Linked DNA regions of Mus musculus: region 2 is reported to be linked to region 1. Evidence: microRNA targets listed by miRTarBase, many of them from high-throughput screens and not tested one by one. Region 1 holds a microRNA gene; the other region holds the end of a gene's coding sequence.

Region 1 (8,260 bases):
CAGCAGGTAATGGCTCTGGTGTACCCCAGCGAACTACCAGCCTGGGCCACATGACGTTCCTACTGCATCTGTGACAAACCACTATAAACTCAGTGTCTTCAAAGACTTTAACCACACAGTCTTCCAAGTCAACCACAGGCCTTACTGGGGTGAAGTCAGGGGTCAGCAGTTCTGTTCCATTTGGGAGGCTGGAGGGGAGCTGGTCTGTTGTCTTACTCTCCCATCTCAGAACGTGGCATATTCCTTGCCAGGGCCCTCTTACTCCATCCTTGAGCCAGCAGTGCTGGGTGTCCTCCAAACCCACATCTCCCTGACCACAGCCAGCAAGGGACTCTGCTTTGAAGGCTTCTGGTCCAGCCCGGGTGCATCTCAAGGCGCCTGACCTATTTCTTCTGCCAAGCCCATGTAAGATTACATTTTTGCAGACTGTATGGGTTAGGACAAGGACTTTTTTTCTTAAGAAGTTTTAAATTTATGTGTTTGTATATGTGCATGTGCACTGGTTGCCCAAGGAGGTCAGAGGAGGGTAACTTACAGTGGGAATCACCCCACATGGGTACTAGGATCAGGTTCTCTGTAAGAACAGTATCTGCTTCTCACCAATGAGCCACCTCTCCAGTCCCAAGGACAGGGTCCTCTGGTTTGTGTGAGAGGATCGTTGCTCTACCTACATACGTGCTGTGATAACTCCCGTCAGTGCTTAGAGACCTTTCTAGTCCTGTCTCTAACATGAACAGAGTCAAAGACGCAAGTAAACTCACAACACAAAAGCCTGAATACGCAAAGCACCTGAAGACAACGGCAGGGGAGAGAAAACTCAAACACAGGTAAGAAATCAACAGCCTGAAACAGCTGTGAATCCTCACCCCAGGGAAGAATGGCATTCAAGACCTACCTTTCAGATACTGAAGTCCATTAGCAGACATGCTCACTCACTGTGATGTTTAGAAGACATGGTGGGAGTTCTTCCAGAAAGCAGAACAAAGAGACAGAAAGGAGACAGGGAGCGGTAAGGCAAGCCATGCGGTGAGTGGCAAAGGTGAAGGCCAGAGGATTAAGAAGGCAGGGACTTTGTTGTCCACAATGACAGCAATGTCAAATGCCCTGCCCAGGGAGTGAAGACAGCTCTCCCAAGGCCCAGGACCAACCACTGAAGAACACAGACTACAGGGTTAACCAAGTCTCCTACTTCCAGAGCAAAGGGCCTATTGATTAGCTCTGCATTCTACTTCAATCCTGCATACTAGAGAATGAAAGTCTGAAGGATTTTCTTTTTCTAACCAGACATTCCATACCAAAAATTGTACCCTGCCCCCCGGCCCCCCCAAAAAAGTTCCACCAGTCTTCCCCAGATGACTACCGAAGGATGTGTGTGCTTCTTTAACACACACACACACAGAACGAACACATATACAGACTCTCAGACAGGAGCTGGCTGACAGACTCTCAGACAGGAGCTGGCTGACAGACTCTCAGACAGGAGCTGGCTGAGAGGATTAAAGAGATGAGGACCTGGAATGTATTTAGCCCAGGAAGGAAGCAAGGGAACCAGAGAGCTGAGAAAGGCACTCACCCAGACCAGTGTGGGAGGAAGCTGGGCTCCGAGAAACCAAAGCCTGTCCCAGCACGCTGGGAGGGAAGCTGAAAGCTCCACAGTCGCTATGAGGAGTGCATGGGAAAGTTCAGGGAAACAACGTTTAAAATGATAGTTACTCATCTCAGAATTTAATAAGGTTTCTGAAGGAATGTGAATCTGTATGGGTGGGCTACAAAAAAATCCCTCTCTATATTACCAATATTCCCCATTACCAACACTAGTTCTTCTATGTGCATGTGTGTACTCATGTGCACCTCAGGTTCTTCATGACAGCTGTCTACCTGGCCTTTTGCGGCCGGGTTGTTCACTAGTCCTTGACTTCACCTGGGCTGTAATTGGATTGTGAGGGTCAATGGAACGGCTGCTTTAAGGGGGAATGAGGGTTGTTAAAGTTAAATCCTCACATGGGGGAGGGAGCAGGGAAGAAAGTCAGAATGAAAGAAGAGCAGCGCAACGCTTTAAATGTAGGCAGTCAGAAGACACAGATAAAAGTTGAGGATACAGCTAATGGGAAAATATAGGTGCGGCAGTGGACAGCTACTTATTGCTATAGGGCTCAGTGCTAATCCAGTGCAGTCTGTGGATATATAACACATGAATCATATTAGAAGATTAAACTTAAAAACAAAACAGAACAGGACAATTTAAATGCCAAACTGGTAAGTATATAAGCAAGATGTGGCATGCCCACACAGTGAAATATTATTTAGTCATGAAAAGGGAACCGAGTTTGGATGAACGCACCGTGAGAGAACCATGAAAACGTCCCATTAAGTGAACTAAGCTGGATGGAGAATTTCACAGAGGGTGTGATTCTGTGAAATGTTCAGAACATGTAAATCTACAGAGAACAGATTTCACTCAGAGACAGGAAGTACATAATGAGTAAGGAATGCCTGGATTCAGGTTTTCTTTCGAGGTGAGGAGAACTAGACCTTGCTGATCTGTACAACTCCATGAAAGCTTTGCTCAAGAGCCTTTGTGTTATATACTCTAAAATGGTTCAAACGCTCCACTTCGGGTTTTCTGTAGCTGTGTCACTTTGTTCCTATTCTGTATCTGTGGTATACTCCCTCTTCATTTCAGTTCAACCCAAGCTGTTCAGTCTCAGCAGCAAACGCATTCTTCTGCTTTACGAGGCCGTGATGCTGACTTGGACAATGCGTAATGCGGGAGTAACTGAGGCTACACGCGATCCCATTCGGCTCAACAGGAACGAGCTATGAACGAAGGTCGGGATGCAGCAGGGTTAGGAATTACTTACACACGCAGCGCTTCAGCAATACTAACAGCCCGCTTGCCTTTTCATTCTGAAACACAAGCACAGAAAACTTGGATTTGGGGTTCTGGGCAGCGAGGTCTACTGCAGGAGTTCCGTTTTGTTTACCAAGGAAAAACTGTACAATCTATCTCGCCTAACCTTTTAGATCTAGCCAAAGCTTAGTCATTTGTATGATTCATCTGATTTTCCTTATTTATAAGTCTAGTTAAAGTTCAACCAGGAGGAAATGTAGCCTTAAGCACCACTTGGAAAGGCTACAAATACCACAGGCTAGGTGTGTCCAACCTGTGGCCCATGCCACCCCACCCCACCCCCTTCCCCTCAGGATAGCTATGAATGCTGTCCAACACATCACAAGTGTACTTAAAACCCACGAAATTATCTTTTGCAATCCCATTGTATTCTCTAATGTTAACTTTGTTGATGACAACATCGCATTGCAATGTAAATGGTTGGACACATCTACCAGACATGAGTTTGTCACACTTATTTTTATGCCTATTACTTGAGTCCCAGACACAGGTCCAGTTATCTGAACCATCTGTTACATCTAACTTATAGCTCTCCTGGTCTGGACAGCTAACCATGCAATGGCCAGTGGTCAGGCAGGCTAGGTGACTATCCCTATGTGAGCTGTTAGAACCTTATAGAAGTAAATATCCCCTGCTCCTCTCACATTGACTGGTCAGTCATTGGTTTGGCCCTTTATCCTCTAGTTACCGTCAAATCTGCAACCCATACACACTTTCTAAAACACACCCACCATCACTATGTGAATAGTTAACCATGCTGTTGCTGGGGCACGTGTTAATGAAAGTCAAGTTTAAGATAGGAAGAAAATGTACCTTAGCATGTTTTGGTATTTGTTTCTTAATTCTTACCTGTGGCTCCAACGTCAGCAATAACGTAGTCAGCTGAACGGTGCTCTTCCCCAATCATTATAACCGATTTCAGATGGTGCTAGAAAATTCTATTGACTCTGAACACCAAAAGAAATCAGTCATCCTCTAAGGGGTCACAAGAGGTCATGTGCACTGGGAAGGCCCAGGCCTTCAATCTGTCGTATATGTAGGTCTTCATCCGAGCATGGTGGAGTCCACTTCCAGAGAAGGCTTATTACATGAACAAGTATGCAATTCTAACGGTGGTTGACTAATCAGCTATCCATAACACAGAGGTAAGCAGGGTGGGCGAGGGCAGGCTCTGGTAGCCTGTTTTAGACACTGGACACTTACTTCAGGGCTGTACACTCATTTCTTTGTGCGGTCGGCAGCGAAGTAGTTCTCCACCAAGAACACTGATTTCAAATGGTGCTAGACAATCACTATTTAAATCTAAACCACCATATGAAACCAGCTTCCTGAAGAAGCTTTGTCGTCTGTTTTTGTGGCCTTCCTACGGAGAGGGAAGGTGAAGTCCGTGCAATAGTTCCTAATTTCAGGCGATCCTATGCTGACCTCATCTAGCAGGTGGGGGTGGGGGTGTGACATGTCGGTCACTCATGGCATTCTTCCCTCCAAATGGTAACTGAGCCCTCACCCGAGAGCAGACGTGGGACAGTGAGCACGAGGCTTACACATTCACGGTGCAGCGTGGCAGAGCTCAGCACACTTTTGATAAGCGTGACACTTTTTACTTCCAGATCGATCTGTTAGAGTCGACAAGTGAGCACAATTTGGGATCCTCTCAAAGGCAAAGCAACACACTGATGCTAATGAGACCCTGCCCCCTTTTGCCAGACTGCAGTAGTGAGTTCAGGTCTTTTGCTAACTCAATTCTCCTCCAGAAGTGAAGCTTTGAATCTTCGGTATCTGACAGATTATCACTATCATCAGTACTGCTGCTACTGCTACTACTATTACAGTTTTAAACAGGGTCTCACTATGTAGCCCTGGCTGTCCTCGTAACTCAGAGAGGCCCTGCTTCTGCTTCCTGAGTGCTGAGACTTTCTGGCTTCTTTCTTGTCTCCCTTCCATTAGCTCTTGACATGTGGTCTTGCTAGGCCAGGCCGTTTGCCGTCACTCTTTTGAATGTGTCAGGGACTCCAATAACTACACATCCACGGCCTTAAAAAAAAAAAAAACTATTTAGAAACATTTCAGATATTAGAATGTTAATGTCCTTTTTAAGAATACCTTTTTAAAAAGTTGTATGTTAAATTTCTTTTTAAAATATTTTTTTCAAATGTACTGACATTAAAATGATTATTAACATTTTCTCCCCCTTTATCCCTTCCTGCTCATTCTCAAATCCATGGCCTCTTTTTAATTGCTGTTACACACACACATTCTCCTAAGTACGTGACTACAGCCGGCTTAGTCCATGTAATTTCAGGGCTCACTACATGGCATTAACTTTCAATGATAATCAAACAAATTCCTGTATTTGTGCCTTCTGAATTAACAACTGAGCGTTTTTTGCTTTAGATATATAATCTACATTATTACCTATCCCTGGCATATGTGGTTCTTACTGAATTGTTTGAAAGCAAAGAGAAGATCAGCCAGGTGCTCTGCTCTCAGCTGCTGGGGCACAGCACTGTTTAAGAAATACTGAGATAAAAAATTAAAAAAAAAAAAGGAGAACATTTTTCTTTATAATTACAGTAAGCTGTCCTACCCGAGGAAACAAACAATTCCCTGGGACTGTGAAGTAGCCAGTGTGCATGGGACTTCACCTACTTTCTCAAAAGACAGTCTTATAGCTTTGCTTTTTACACTCAGATCTCATCAAGGCTGCGGGACCCCTCCTTGGTCCAGCACCACGAGGTGCCAGGCTACAGACTGGGAATCTATTTCAAAAAATAATAAAACATACCTAAATATTTTTTAAATGAAAGAAATAAACCTTTGACTAGTTTAAGAAAACCTTTCTTTCTCAAAATAAATAAATAAATAAAATAAAATAAAATAAAATAAAAACAGCACCAAACCGAAAGAAAATGTTCACTAAAGGTAGGCCTGAAAGGCCCTACGTCTAGAATATGTAAACCATTGGGGGCTGGAGAATGAGCTCGGTCATTAAGAGCACTTTTCTGAGTTCAGTTCCCAGCACACAGGCTGGCTTACAACTCCAGCCGAAGGGGATGTGATGCCCTCTTTGGCTTCGGTGGGCACCCATACACATGTGCACACATATGATAAAAACATGCATGCATGAACAAGCACACATTCATGCATACATGTACACACAGAGCTCTTCAGTCTGAATCCCAGTTTTCATGTAATTTCAGCAAGTCCCAGCTCCCTAGGAACAGGCTCACCATGAGAATAGTCTTGAAGTTAACAAAGAAACTCTCTATTATTGGCTGGCAGAGGGGTGGACAAGCCAGGGCCCTCTTCCCTCAGGACATGCATACAAGTGCGGACTCTGGGGCCTTCCATGGCCCTCAGCTACAAGCACAGCCCTCCCAAGAGGAACAGCTTCACTCACAAGTGTGCCCGTGCTTCCCTTCTCCCTTTAATGGACACACAACCTCATTACCCTTTAGTCTGGGGCTAGGGCATAAAAGAACTATTGTTTCTGTAGGCTGGGTTACTGTTATTTTTTAACTAGCAACAACTCTGCAGTATTACAACTCCTGAAAGGACAAAAATAAGAAACCTTACAATACACAGATCACACGCTGGGCTGGCAGACTCTTCACCCTATGAGTAGAAACAGTTATCTTCCAAGGATAGACCCCTAAGCAGCTCTCAGCTCACCAGCCATGAAAATGTGGGCCTGCTTCACAACCCAGCCTGCATGCTTCATGCTGCTCTTCAACGCACTGCCCTTCCTGTGCACTTCTGTCAAATCTGATAGGGAAATCGGGGCCTGGTCTGAGTCAGTAACCCACAGCAGGGCTCTGTGTGGAAAGGCCCTGCAGTAGATGCGTATTGCTCCCAGTGACGTGAGAAGCCAGTCTGTTCTTGTGTTGAGCAAACTGGATTAAGATAACTTCCCTCGGGGCTTGGAGATTTCACAAGAACTATCACATCCTGAACCAGCACCCCTTGAGGAACACAGCTTCAAAACGTTAGGGCCACCAGGACTCGGCAGGCCTAACCGGTGTGTCTGGGCCAGGCCACACGTGTCACTGCAGTAGCTGTGCTCACACATCTGGAAGCCGTACCCAGAAGAGCCGAGCTTTGTAAGGGTTAAATCAGGTAGTACATGAGATGATCGAACGAGCAATACGGAACTTTCCTTTGGCATTTTAGTAGAGGGATGCAGCTAAGAGGTCCAGCTCACAAGTGAGAGGCATACACGGATGTGTCAAAAAAAGATACCTTTGCCTTGTGCCTCCCATCTCCGCACACTTGAATGAGCACCTGCAAATATATTCTGATTACTTCTCCATTCAAGGGCCTCCACGCGGGACCTGTGCTGTCGCTGGTGAGCACAGGTTTCTGTAGGTCTTCCCTGGTTGTGAACTGGCAGCTGGGTGTGTAAGAGTGGCTATCAAACTCCGATGGTCACTTAAAAACTCACTGGAGACTCACCGTGGACAAAATACAGCAAGACCTCTTTAAGGGTGATTTGCAAGCATGCACCTCAACTTCTACAGGGCCACAAAGACAACCTGCTACAAGCATTTTCCAGGGACAGACACGCTGCAGAGAGCCTTCGTGAGAGGAGCAGTATGTGGTATTTCGGTGACACACGAACCTCAGGGTGTATCCCACGGACGTGGGGTTCTCTACTCAGACACTTTCAAAAGGTCCCTTCTCTCTGCTGTCCAGTGAGAGACATTTATTACTTCCTTCCGCAGGCACTGCTGTGGATTGGCTACCTGCATTTGGCGACACTGGGGTGGTTATGACTAAGGAGCACGGCCCTTGGCCTTCCACTTGGCACAGCAGCGAGGTGTACTGTGCAAGCTGGTGTAGGAGCTGCAGCATGCTATAAACCTGTAGATCCAACCAGAGCAAGAATGAAGGTGTCTTGCACAGGGTAGGAGAAGGTCTATTTTCAAGGGGAATTGGTAAGCCCTAAGGCTTTAGCAATGCAGGCTGCAGAAGGCCCACAGAGGGCGGACATTACACTTGTCTTTGAGAACAATCCTTTTTGCTCACTCTACAGCCAGGCAGAGGGCAATTATGGAACTCAAACTACATCATTCTACTCTTTCCTATGTGGTCTAACTTTAAGCCAGAGGTACCTTTCATCAGACAAGAAGCCAAGGGCGTAGGCGGTGCCATTTCCAAAATATTGATCACTCAGGTTAACAAACTGGGAATGCTGTCCCAGCAGGCCCACACAGGATGGTTTACAAGAGATTTAACAACTCAACAAAGAGAAGCCCAGTGACTCAGCAGTCAAGATTCTAACCACTGCGATGTCCAAGTTAATGACTGCAATGCCCCTCAGGGAGCCTGGAACAGCAGAGGCCTCAAAGC
Region 2 (8,260 bases), not on the chromosome of region 1:
GCCTGGAACCAAGATGCAAGACCCACAGGATGTTTGCATGCTAGGCCTCCTTCCAGAGACAGTGGTGTCCCCAAACTGTCCCTGAAATGCCTATCACCTGAGTCTGTCTTCAGACAAGTTCCCATTCTGATGTGTGATGCGATTAGGGCCTCAGTGAGAGGGGATGCATTCAGCTACTTAGGTATCTTCTCTCTCTCCCACCAACTGTGCAGCTATGCCGACGATGGTGAGAAGACACTGTGCACCAGCTGTGCTATGTTTGAAGCCTGAGGTGGCCACAGACAGCACAAGATGTTCACACTAAAGAGAGAGAAGGTGGCTTTTTATATGTTATGTTTTATACCCAGTAACAAGTGAATAAACCTCTTTATATTTGCACAAGGACTCCCTCCCTTCCATCTGTTAACCGTTCTTAGGGTGGCAGTGACGGCTGCAGGGGCAAGCCCTCGCAGCAGCGTGCAGCTCAGCTGTCTTGGCATTGAGACCCCTGCTTATTACCCACATCTAACAGGCAAGCCAGACCCAGCAAGTTCCTTCCTGTCCTCCCTCAGCTGTAAGAGGAAGCAGCTGGACTCCAGGAGTCAGACTGCAGAATGGTCACCTGCGTGCTAGACAACCTCAGGCACTGAATTGCCACTGTCAGTCACATAGGCAGCCATCAATACCTACACTGCTGGGTTCCAGGTGATTTAATGAGCCCTTGTCCTCCAGGGGTTTGGCCCTGTGGAATGTCCTGTGTGGTTGTGACAGTCCTCACCATATCTTCAGAGGTAGTTTATGCAGGGCTCTAAGGAGTTCACAGGAGGTAACATGGCCTGGAAGATAATGGTGGGCCAGTCACTGCAGCCACCTGGGTCTCCTACTTACAAGTGGTTGGCTGGGTAGATAGGGCAGAGGTCTCCTTGTCCTGATCTCTAAGAACAACTACGGTTAGTTCCCATACATATCGAGGAGGTGCTGTCCTAGATGGGGTTGGTTCAAGTTTCCCTATACTACTGAAAAGTTGGCCCAGAGGCCCTACGTGAGCAGGAGGCTAGAGAGGGCTGAGGTGGGGAAAGGCCTTACGCACCTGGGAAGTTCCCTTATTGCTGTGGATAATGGGACTCTGGCTGGTTTTAAGTGTGGAAGCTGGTGGTCTGTAGGTAGTGACCAGGAGCTGGGCCCATTAGGGCCCAAGGTAGCAGTTAGCTGCTGTAGCCTTGCTGGGGGTGGGGCGGGGCAGGGCACCCAGATAGGCCAGCGACTGCGGCTCTGAAAATGGAATCTGGGGATCCTAACTGGAGTCTGTCTATTTGTCTGTCTATTTAATTTTCTTTGTGGCAAGGGCTCACTGTGTAGCCCTGGCTGTCCTTGAACTCAGAGATCCACCTGCCTCTGCCTCCTGAGTTTTGGAACTAAAGGCGTGCGCCACCACACCTGACTCGATTAGCTGGCTTGAAGCCACTAAGCCACTTGAGCTGGCTGTTGGTGGCCAAAGCAAACCCTGACCGTACCCCACACCCATCCCATGGCTTCTGGTGCTGTTTTATCCTGGCCTAGAGTCTTTGTACTATGAGCTTCTGCTGTAGCTAGCCCATCTCTGTCACCAGTGGGAATCATTGCCCAGTCCCCAACACCTTCAGGCTGCCCTCTCTCATAAACACCAGACTTTACCTCTCCTGCTTCCTGCCCCGCTGGGGGTTCAGTCTACCTCCCAGCATGCTCAACATGCTTTCTTTCACCTTAGACCTTCTTGGCTCCCTTCTTGGCTGGAGGCCCTTCCTCTGGGTGTTTGTATGTTCGTTTATGTCTCTCTGGGTTGGGCTCAGAAGCATCCTAGTCCTTACTGCACAGCCCTGTAGGCTTTTCTGATCCACCATAGAGAATACAGATGGATGCTTGTTATTCCTTCCAGCTGCCATGCAGATTCCTGAGAGCTGTGACGTAGCTTCAAATGACATCTTACATGTCACAGACTTGTAGTAATCTGCCCAGCATCCAGCCATGAGGTAGCGGGGAGTGTATTTGAGTGTGCATGTCAGTGTGGGGTGCATGCCTGAGTTTGCATGTGTGGAGCCAGCAATCTACTTGGTGTTGTTTGGGTTTTATTTGGTTTGTGGGTGGTTTGGCTTTTGAGGCTAGGCCCCATTTGGCCTGGAGCTCACGGATTAAGTTAAACTGTGGACAGCAAGCCTCAGGCCCCCCGCCCCGCGTCGGCCTCCCTAGCATTAGGAGTGTAAACCAATGCCACCGCTGTGCTTTGTAAATACAATTGTGGGGGCCAAACTTGGGGCATGCTTACATGGCAAGCATTTTGCCAACAGATGCCCCGGTCCCTAGCCAACTTTAAAAAAAGAACAAAGTACTTAGATATTGGACAGCACCCAGCGTCAGATGATAACCCCAGAGGGGATGAGATGAACCCAGGTTCTGCTGAGAACCCTGCCTGCTGAGCATCCACCTGTGGTGTGGGAGGAGATTGAGAGAGCTTGTGAAAAGGATCGAGAAGACTGGGGGATGAGAGCTAGGATAGCCAAAGTTTGCACAGCAGATTGCCAGTGGATCAAAGCATCCTTGATGGTGTTAATTAATCACGTTGTTGAGAGCAAGGGAGGGAACAAGAAGCAGTCCCCATTCCCAATAAAGAAGGGATATGGAAGCCGGGCGGTGGTGGTACACGCCTTTAATACACTTTGGTACACTTGGGAGGCAGAGGCAGGCAGATTTCTGAGTTCGAGGCCAGCCTGGTCTACAAAGTGAGTTCCAGGACAGCCAGGGCTACACAGAGAAACCCTGTCTCGAAAAAAACAAAACAAAACAAACAAAAAAGAAGGGATATGGGCAGGATCCTCACCACCATCTTCATGCTCCGTAGGTAGGCCTCCCTCTCCTAATGCAGACTGCCTGGCCTCTCCTTTGTGGTGAAAGCCATGCCTGACAAAGCCATTGTCACCATTACTGTTGCGTAGCAGTTTTCCATCTTGGAGAGCTCTTTAAGACACAGGATGGTGAGGGTGGGGCATGGTAGAACACTCCTGCAGGGAAGCTCCTTAAGCTCAGCAAGCAAACTTGAGGGCTTTAGGAAGTCCCTGAAACTGACCACATTCACTAGGGCTTCCCCTCCCAAACGTTCTCAGATCAGCTGAGCTGCCTCGAGGCTCAGATCACTTTCTAGCCTGTTCAGCTGCCTGTAGTTTGTTTTGGGGTATGCTTTTGTGAGCTGTCACCCATGCCTTGGCAATGCAGCTGTCTTCTGAGTCATCTCTGTTCCTGTAAACAACCTATATTCTCATATGCCACTGTCAAACTCACTGGTCCTCCAGGTCGGGCTTTGGTGGTATCTGTACTCTGCTGTCATTGGTTCCTTAGCTGGGGTGAATAGGTGTTTGCTCACATCTCTCTAGTGCTATACTACAAACACTTAACTATATCCTAGAACAGAACTCAAAAGGTCTTGTTTCAACTCGGTTCCCATAAGACAAATAGTAAACTTTGCTCCCTCCTTTCTTGGCCTTAGTGTAGGTCATTTCCCTAAATGGAAACTATAGTCATCAAGTGGCTACACACCTCATTCCCACCGATCTCCACCCTAGCAAGCACCATTCTACTTCCTGCCTTATGAATTACTTACCTCATTTAAGCTTACCAGACCCTACCATGGCCACAGGGTCTATCCCCTATCTGCTCTGGTGGTTCAGGCTAGGCCAGGCCTGTCTTCGGGGAGAGGGTACCACTTCCCAAGAGCATTCCCTAGATGTCCGCTCTCACCTACAATGATCATGTTGGGCAGCTTTCATGAGTAACAGTGGGCTCAGGAAGAGAGCTTTGCCCACCTCTGTGTTGAGGGCACAACTTCAGGGCTCCCTCCTCTGTACTAGAGACACATACCTGAGGGGTCTTGTGGAAAGAGCAGCCTGTAGCCGGCCCAGCCCTGGCTTTAGCTGTGTTTGTTTCTACGTTTCAGCCACTTTAGGTAAGATTTAGTGCTAAGTCTGAGGGCCACAGAAAGCACTACAGTCCTTATTTCCTTCCTTCCTCCTTCCCTCCCTCTCTTCCCTCCTGACTGGATCTTGCTACATTGACCTTGCTGGCCTTGAACTCAAGTGCTAGGACTAAAGGTGTTTACCCAGCCGGTGTTGTCTATAAATCTTACTTCAAAGTCAGTAAGTGCTGGGCAGTGGTGGCGCACGCCTTTAATCCTAGCACTTGGGAGGCAGAGGCAGGCAGATTTCTGAGTTCGAGGCCAGCCTGGTCTACAAAGTGAGTTCCAGGACAGCCAGGGCTATTCAGAGAAACCCTGTCTCTAAACAAACAAACAAACAAACCCAAAGTAGGCAATGCTGTGTACGGTTCCAGAGGGCTTGTGGTCATCTAGAGAAAATCTTTGGCTGTTATAGAAGTGGATATTCTTATTTTCCAGAGGTCCAGATCATCACCCACCCTAACTTTGCAGGAGTCAGACACCATCCCAGCAAGGCCACCAGCCACTAGGCTCTGTATATGTGTAGTCCATGCCTTAGGGGAGGCCATCTGGCTGGAGGCCTCTAAATGTTTTGCTGAGCAGTTGCTGTTGCTTGCTGCAGTTCCACCAGTAGTCACCAGGTGTCACCAGCAACATACTCAGTATATCTTGGTGGCGGCTTGGACTCAGGATCGCAGACACTCTAGAGTGACCTTGGTTCCTGTCACCTCTGTCCAGACCCAGAACAGTCCCCAGTTCTGTTCAGTCACAGATGTGCTATGTCACCTCAACCAAAGCCTCCTGAGCCTTTTTGAACTGTATCGCCAGCGCATTATCCTTCCTGGTATCAGGGCCTGGCTTATTGCTCTGCCAGACACACGACAGCTGGGGCTGGCAGGTGTCTTAGATGGCCAGGGAGGGTCACTGCAAGAGTAGACTCCAGAGACAGTCAAGATCCTCCCACTTCTGTCAGGAGTGTCCTGCCATGAGGACGACATCCCCTGGAGCCTCAGGGACCAGTTCCCAGGACCCACCCTGATGTGACCCCAGCCACACCCCTTCACCTCCCACCCACTAACAAGGCTGTGACGCTCCACACCAGAAAGCAAACCACAAGCTTGAAAAGCAATTTTTATTGAATTTGGAGGGACAGTTTCTTATTATAATAGTAAAAATGCTGAAGCTGAATGTTGTAAAAAACGACATGGTGCAGCAATGGCCAGCGTCTGGCCGGGAGGGGACAGGCCAGGGTGACGGACAGCGGGAGAGGGAAAGCATCTAAAAGGACAAGTGCTAGGAGAAGGGCTCACGTGAGGCAGGCGCTCCCAGGGTACCCGCTAAGAGCCACCACGCGGGAGCGGGTGCGGGAGGGCAGGGGCTCTCCTGTCACCAAGATTAAAATCCCCTAAATGTCTCTGAACAGCATGGGACACAGCAACAAACTGGATTCTTGTTCCTCTGTCAACCTCACTTGAGCCCTGGCCATCCCATCCAGCCCTAGGGCTGAAGCAGCTGTGACCTCTCCCCGCCCAGAGGGAGAGGGCCAGTTAGCATACCACAGGGGGGTGCTTCTGGTGCCTTCTTGCTGGACTTTGGCCCTGGACCCTAGAGACAGGTGGCGGCCAGGGTGGACAGGCCAATGGGGGCAGTGACGGGACCCACCCAGACCCATGAGCCCACATTGCACATGGTCGCGTCAGTCCTTAATAGTTTTCTACATGAATCTAATTGTTCTGGGCACTGAGGCCACATGTGTGGTCTCAAACTGGATGAAATAAATTAAGAAAAACCCCAGGATAGTTTTCCTCCTGACCTGGCTGGGAGGTAGGCTGCTGCCCACAGTAGAAACATCCTCCCCTGGTCCTGGAGGCTGGCAAGGTTCCTCCCCAGCGCATCCGAGAAACAAAACATCAGGTTCAGATGATCCATGCGGGGCTTCTGGACTCGGCAATGCAGAGGAGCGTGGAGCTGCCAGCCGCTGCCCCAGGCCTCAGGCTGTGCCACTGGCTGAGTAGGAGAACTGGGGGAAGTGCGGCCTCCGCTCACTGTCCACACACTCCATGCTGTCATCTGTGGGCCACAGGAGGGCTCAGACCATCTCTAGAAACAGCCCGCCCACCTGACACATGCCAGAGGATACAAGGGGGCCCTGTGAGGGGGCAGTGACTCTGGCCCTCAGAACACTCCCTCCCTCCCCGCCAAGCTGCTACCACCCTCCAAAGGGTTTGTTTGATTCTTTTAGTTTTGGGGCTGAGAGAGAGCTTAGTGGTTAAGAGCACTGGCTGCTCTGGTAGAGGACCCGGGTTCAGTTCCAGTGCCCACGTGGCTACTCACAACCACCTGTTAACTCCAGTTCCCCCCCAAAAAAAGCAGGAGTGCAAGCCAGACACTGAGGGGCCATGGAGTGGGGTGGCCTCACCTTGATCAGGCGGCGTGATGGTGATCATCTGAGCTGTGAACTCCTCATCGAAATACCTGGTGTCAGTCTCAGAGGTGACCTGGGGCTTGAAAGGTGGGCTCAGCTGAGGAGCAACAGAAGGCCTGGTTACTACTGGGTTCCAATCCCTCCATCCTCTCTGGGCAATACTGACCTTATCGGGTGGGCACTAGCACTAGGGAACAGCTCTAGGAGATGGAACTGGGTAGGGCAGTGTAGGCAGGGGAGAGCAAGCCCAGAGATGCCCAAAGTGACGAGAGGGTAGTGACTGCCCACCTCCAGGCAGTGGGAACTCCGTTCTCTGGTTGTCATTTCCCTTCTGAGTTTTTTTTTTTTTCTTCCCTTTCCATTTTTTGAAACTGGGGTTCTGTGTAGCCCTAGGAACTACCTCTGTAAACCAGGCTGGCCTCAAACTCAGAGATCCACCTGCTCCTGCCTCCCAGGTGCTGGGACTAAAGGCACACAGTGGCACCACCACAGCTGTGGCAGGACTCAAAGCAGTCTTCAGGTGAGCTCGCCTGCCTCACTGACAGCCCATGAAGAAGATAAGCTGCAGAGTGGTGTATGCACTGGAGGCTGCTAACATCCTTTTGGGTCTCACAGGCAAGGACCCTCAATTGCCATCCCTCCCAAATCTGGTGTGAGGGCAATGCGGACTTCATGGGATCTCTAGTTGAGTGTGGGCAGGAAAGGCATGCCATCCACACCCCCACATGCTGCTGGCCCCGTGTTATCTAGAAGGTACACTCAAGGCAGGGGGTAACAGGGCACCCAACACATCAAGGTAGAGTGTTGAGACCACCTGCTGTGTCCCTCATCAGCCTGGGCCAGGGGTACTTAGGAGCTGAAGAGAATCACACTTAGGGGTGAGTACAAGGGGCTCTGCTCTCTGCAGTGGCCTACACTGTGCCAGACGGGCAGGGGCCGTCCCAGAATGGGATTAGGCTCGCCCTAGAGTTGGAGACACCTAGACATTACCCCCCACCCTCGGCTAGCTTTCATCATAGGGCACATGAGGCGATCTCCAGGCAAAGGACAGGAGCAAGCAACAGGTGTAGGCAACAGGGGCACAATTGAGGGCCTGGAGAGGCCAGGTGACTGTGCGAGGTATGCAGGGCAGCATACTACCCTCTTCTGTGCGAGCGAGAAGGCTGTGCACAACCCTGTGGCTCTGTGGGGGCATGTGACTACACAAGGCTGTGGGCCCAGCATGCGTGTCTGAGCCAGCAAAAACAGGAGTGTTTGCATGTGTGCACACATGTGATCCAGAGATGGGCACAGTGGCCAGAGTGAGAGTGTTTATATGTATGCACACACGTATGTGATCCAGAGATGGGCACAGTGGCCAGATGCACACCTTCTTCTCATACACATCCTGCCACACGATGTTGGCAAAGAACCGGTGCTGCATGATCTCCTTGGCATCCTCGGAGCCCCCACCGAGCCTGTGGGTAGGAGACAGGTCCAGGGCTCAGACACTGCGTGCAAGGTGACAGGTCACGGGGATACTCGCAGGGTAGGGATACCCCTAGCTGCCTGACCACCCCACCCGACATGTGACTGAGACTGTGGCGGGTACAGTGGGCAGCAGCACTGTCTAGAGGCTGAGCCTGAAGCCCCGGCAGCCCTTACCTCTGTGTAGGGTCCTTCTTGAGCAGCCCGGAGAGCAGGGACTTGGCCTCAGGGCCGAGTGTGCGCGGGAAGCGGATCTCCTCCATGAGGATCAGCTCGAACAGCTTCTCGTGGTCCTGGTTGTAGAAGGGCAGGCGGCCACACATCATCTCGTACATGACCACGCCCAGCCCCCACCAGTCCACTGCACGGCCGTAGTCGTTGTCCTCCAGCACCTAGATGGGGGACTCTGTCAGCGTTGTGTCGGGGCG

The links. The annotated mature microRNA mmu-miR-29b-1-5p reads GCUGGUUUCAUAUGGUGGUUUA and lies in region 1 at 4,215-4,236, opposite strand. An mRNA with a match to its seed (bases 2 to 7 or 8) in the 3' UTR can be bound and repressed. Matches are read on the target gene's strand: a 7mer-m8 pairs with bases 2 to 8, a 7mer-A1 pairs with bases 2 to 7 and ends in A, and an 8mer does both.
Region 2: miRTarBase lists Akt1 as a target of mmu-miR-29b-1-5p. The part of its 3' UTR that is shown has no 7-base or 8-base seed match.

What each region holds. Positions count from the first base shown.
Region 1 is chr6:31,058,853-31,067,112 of GRCm38, forward strand. It overlaps Mir29b-1 (microRNA 29b-1), which reads right to left and starts at 4,241; the gene lies at 4,171-4,241. Mir29a (microRNA 29a) reads right to left here and starts at 3,895; the gene lies at 3,808-3,895.
Region 2 is chr12:112,648,768-112,657,027 of GRCm38, forward strand. It overlaps Akt1 (thymoma viral proto-oncogene 1), which reads right to left. Exons shown (of 14, transcript NM_009652.3): 11 at 8,010-8,224; 12 at 7,735-7,822; 13 at 6,360-6,462; 14 at 5,054-6,010. The coding sequence ends at 5,931. Siva1 (SIVA1, apoptosis-inducing factor) reads left to right here. Exons shown (of 4, transcript NM_013929.2): 4 at 213-385. The coding sequence ends at 270. Among named protein-coding and RNA genes, the nearest start is that of Mir6939, 6.5 kb to the right of the region's middle.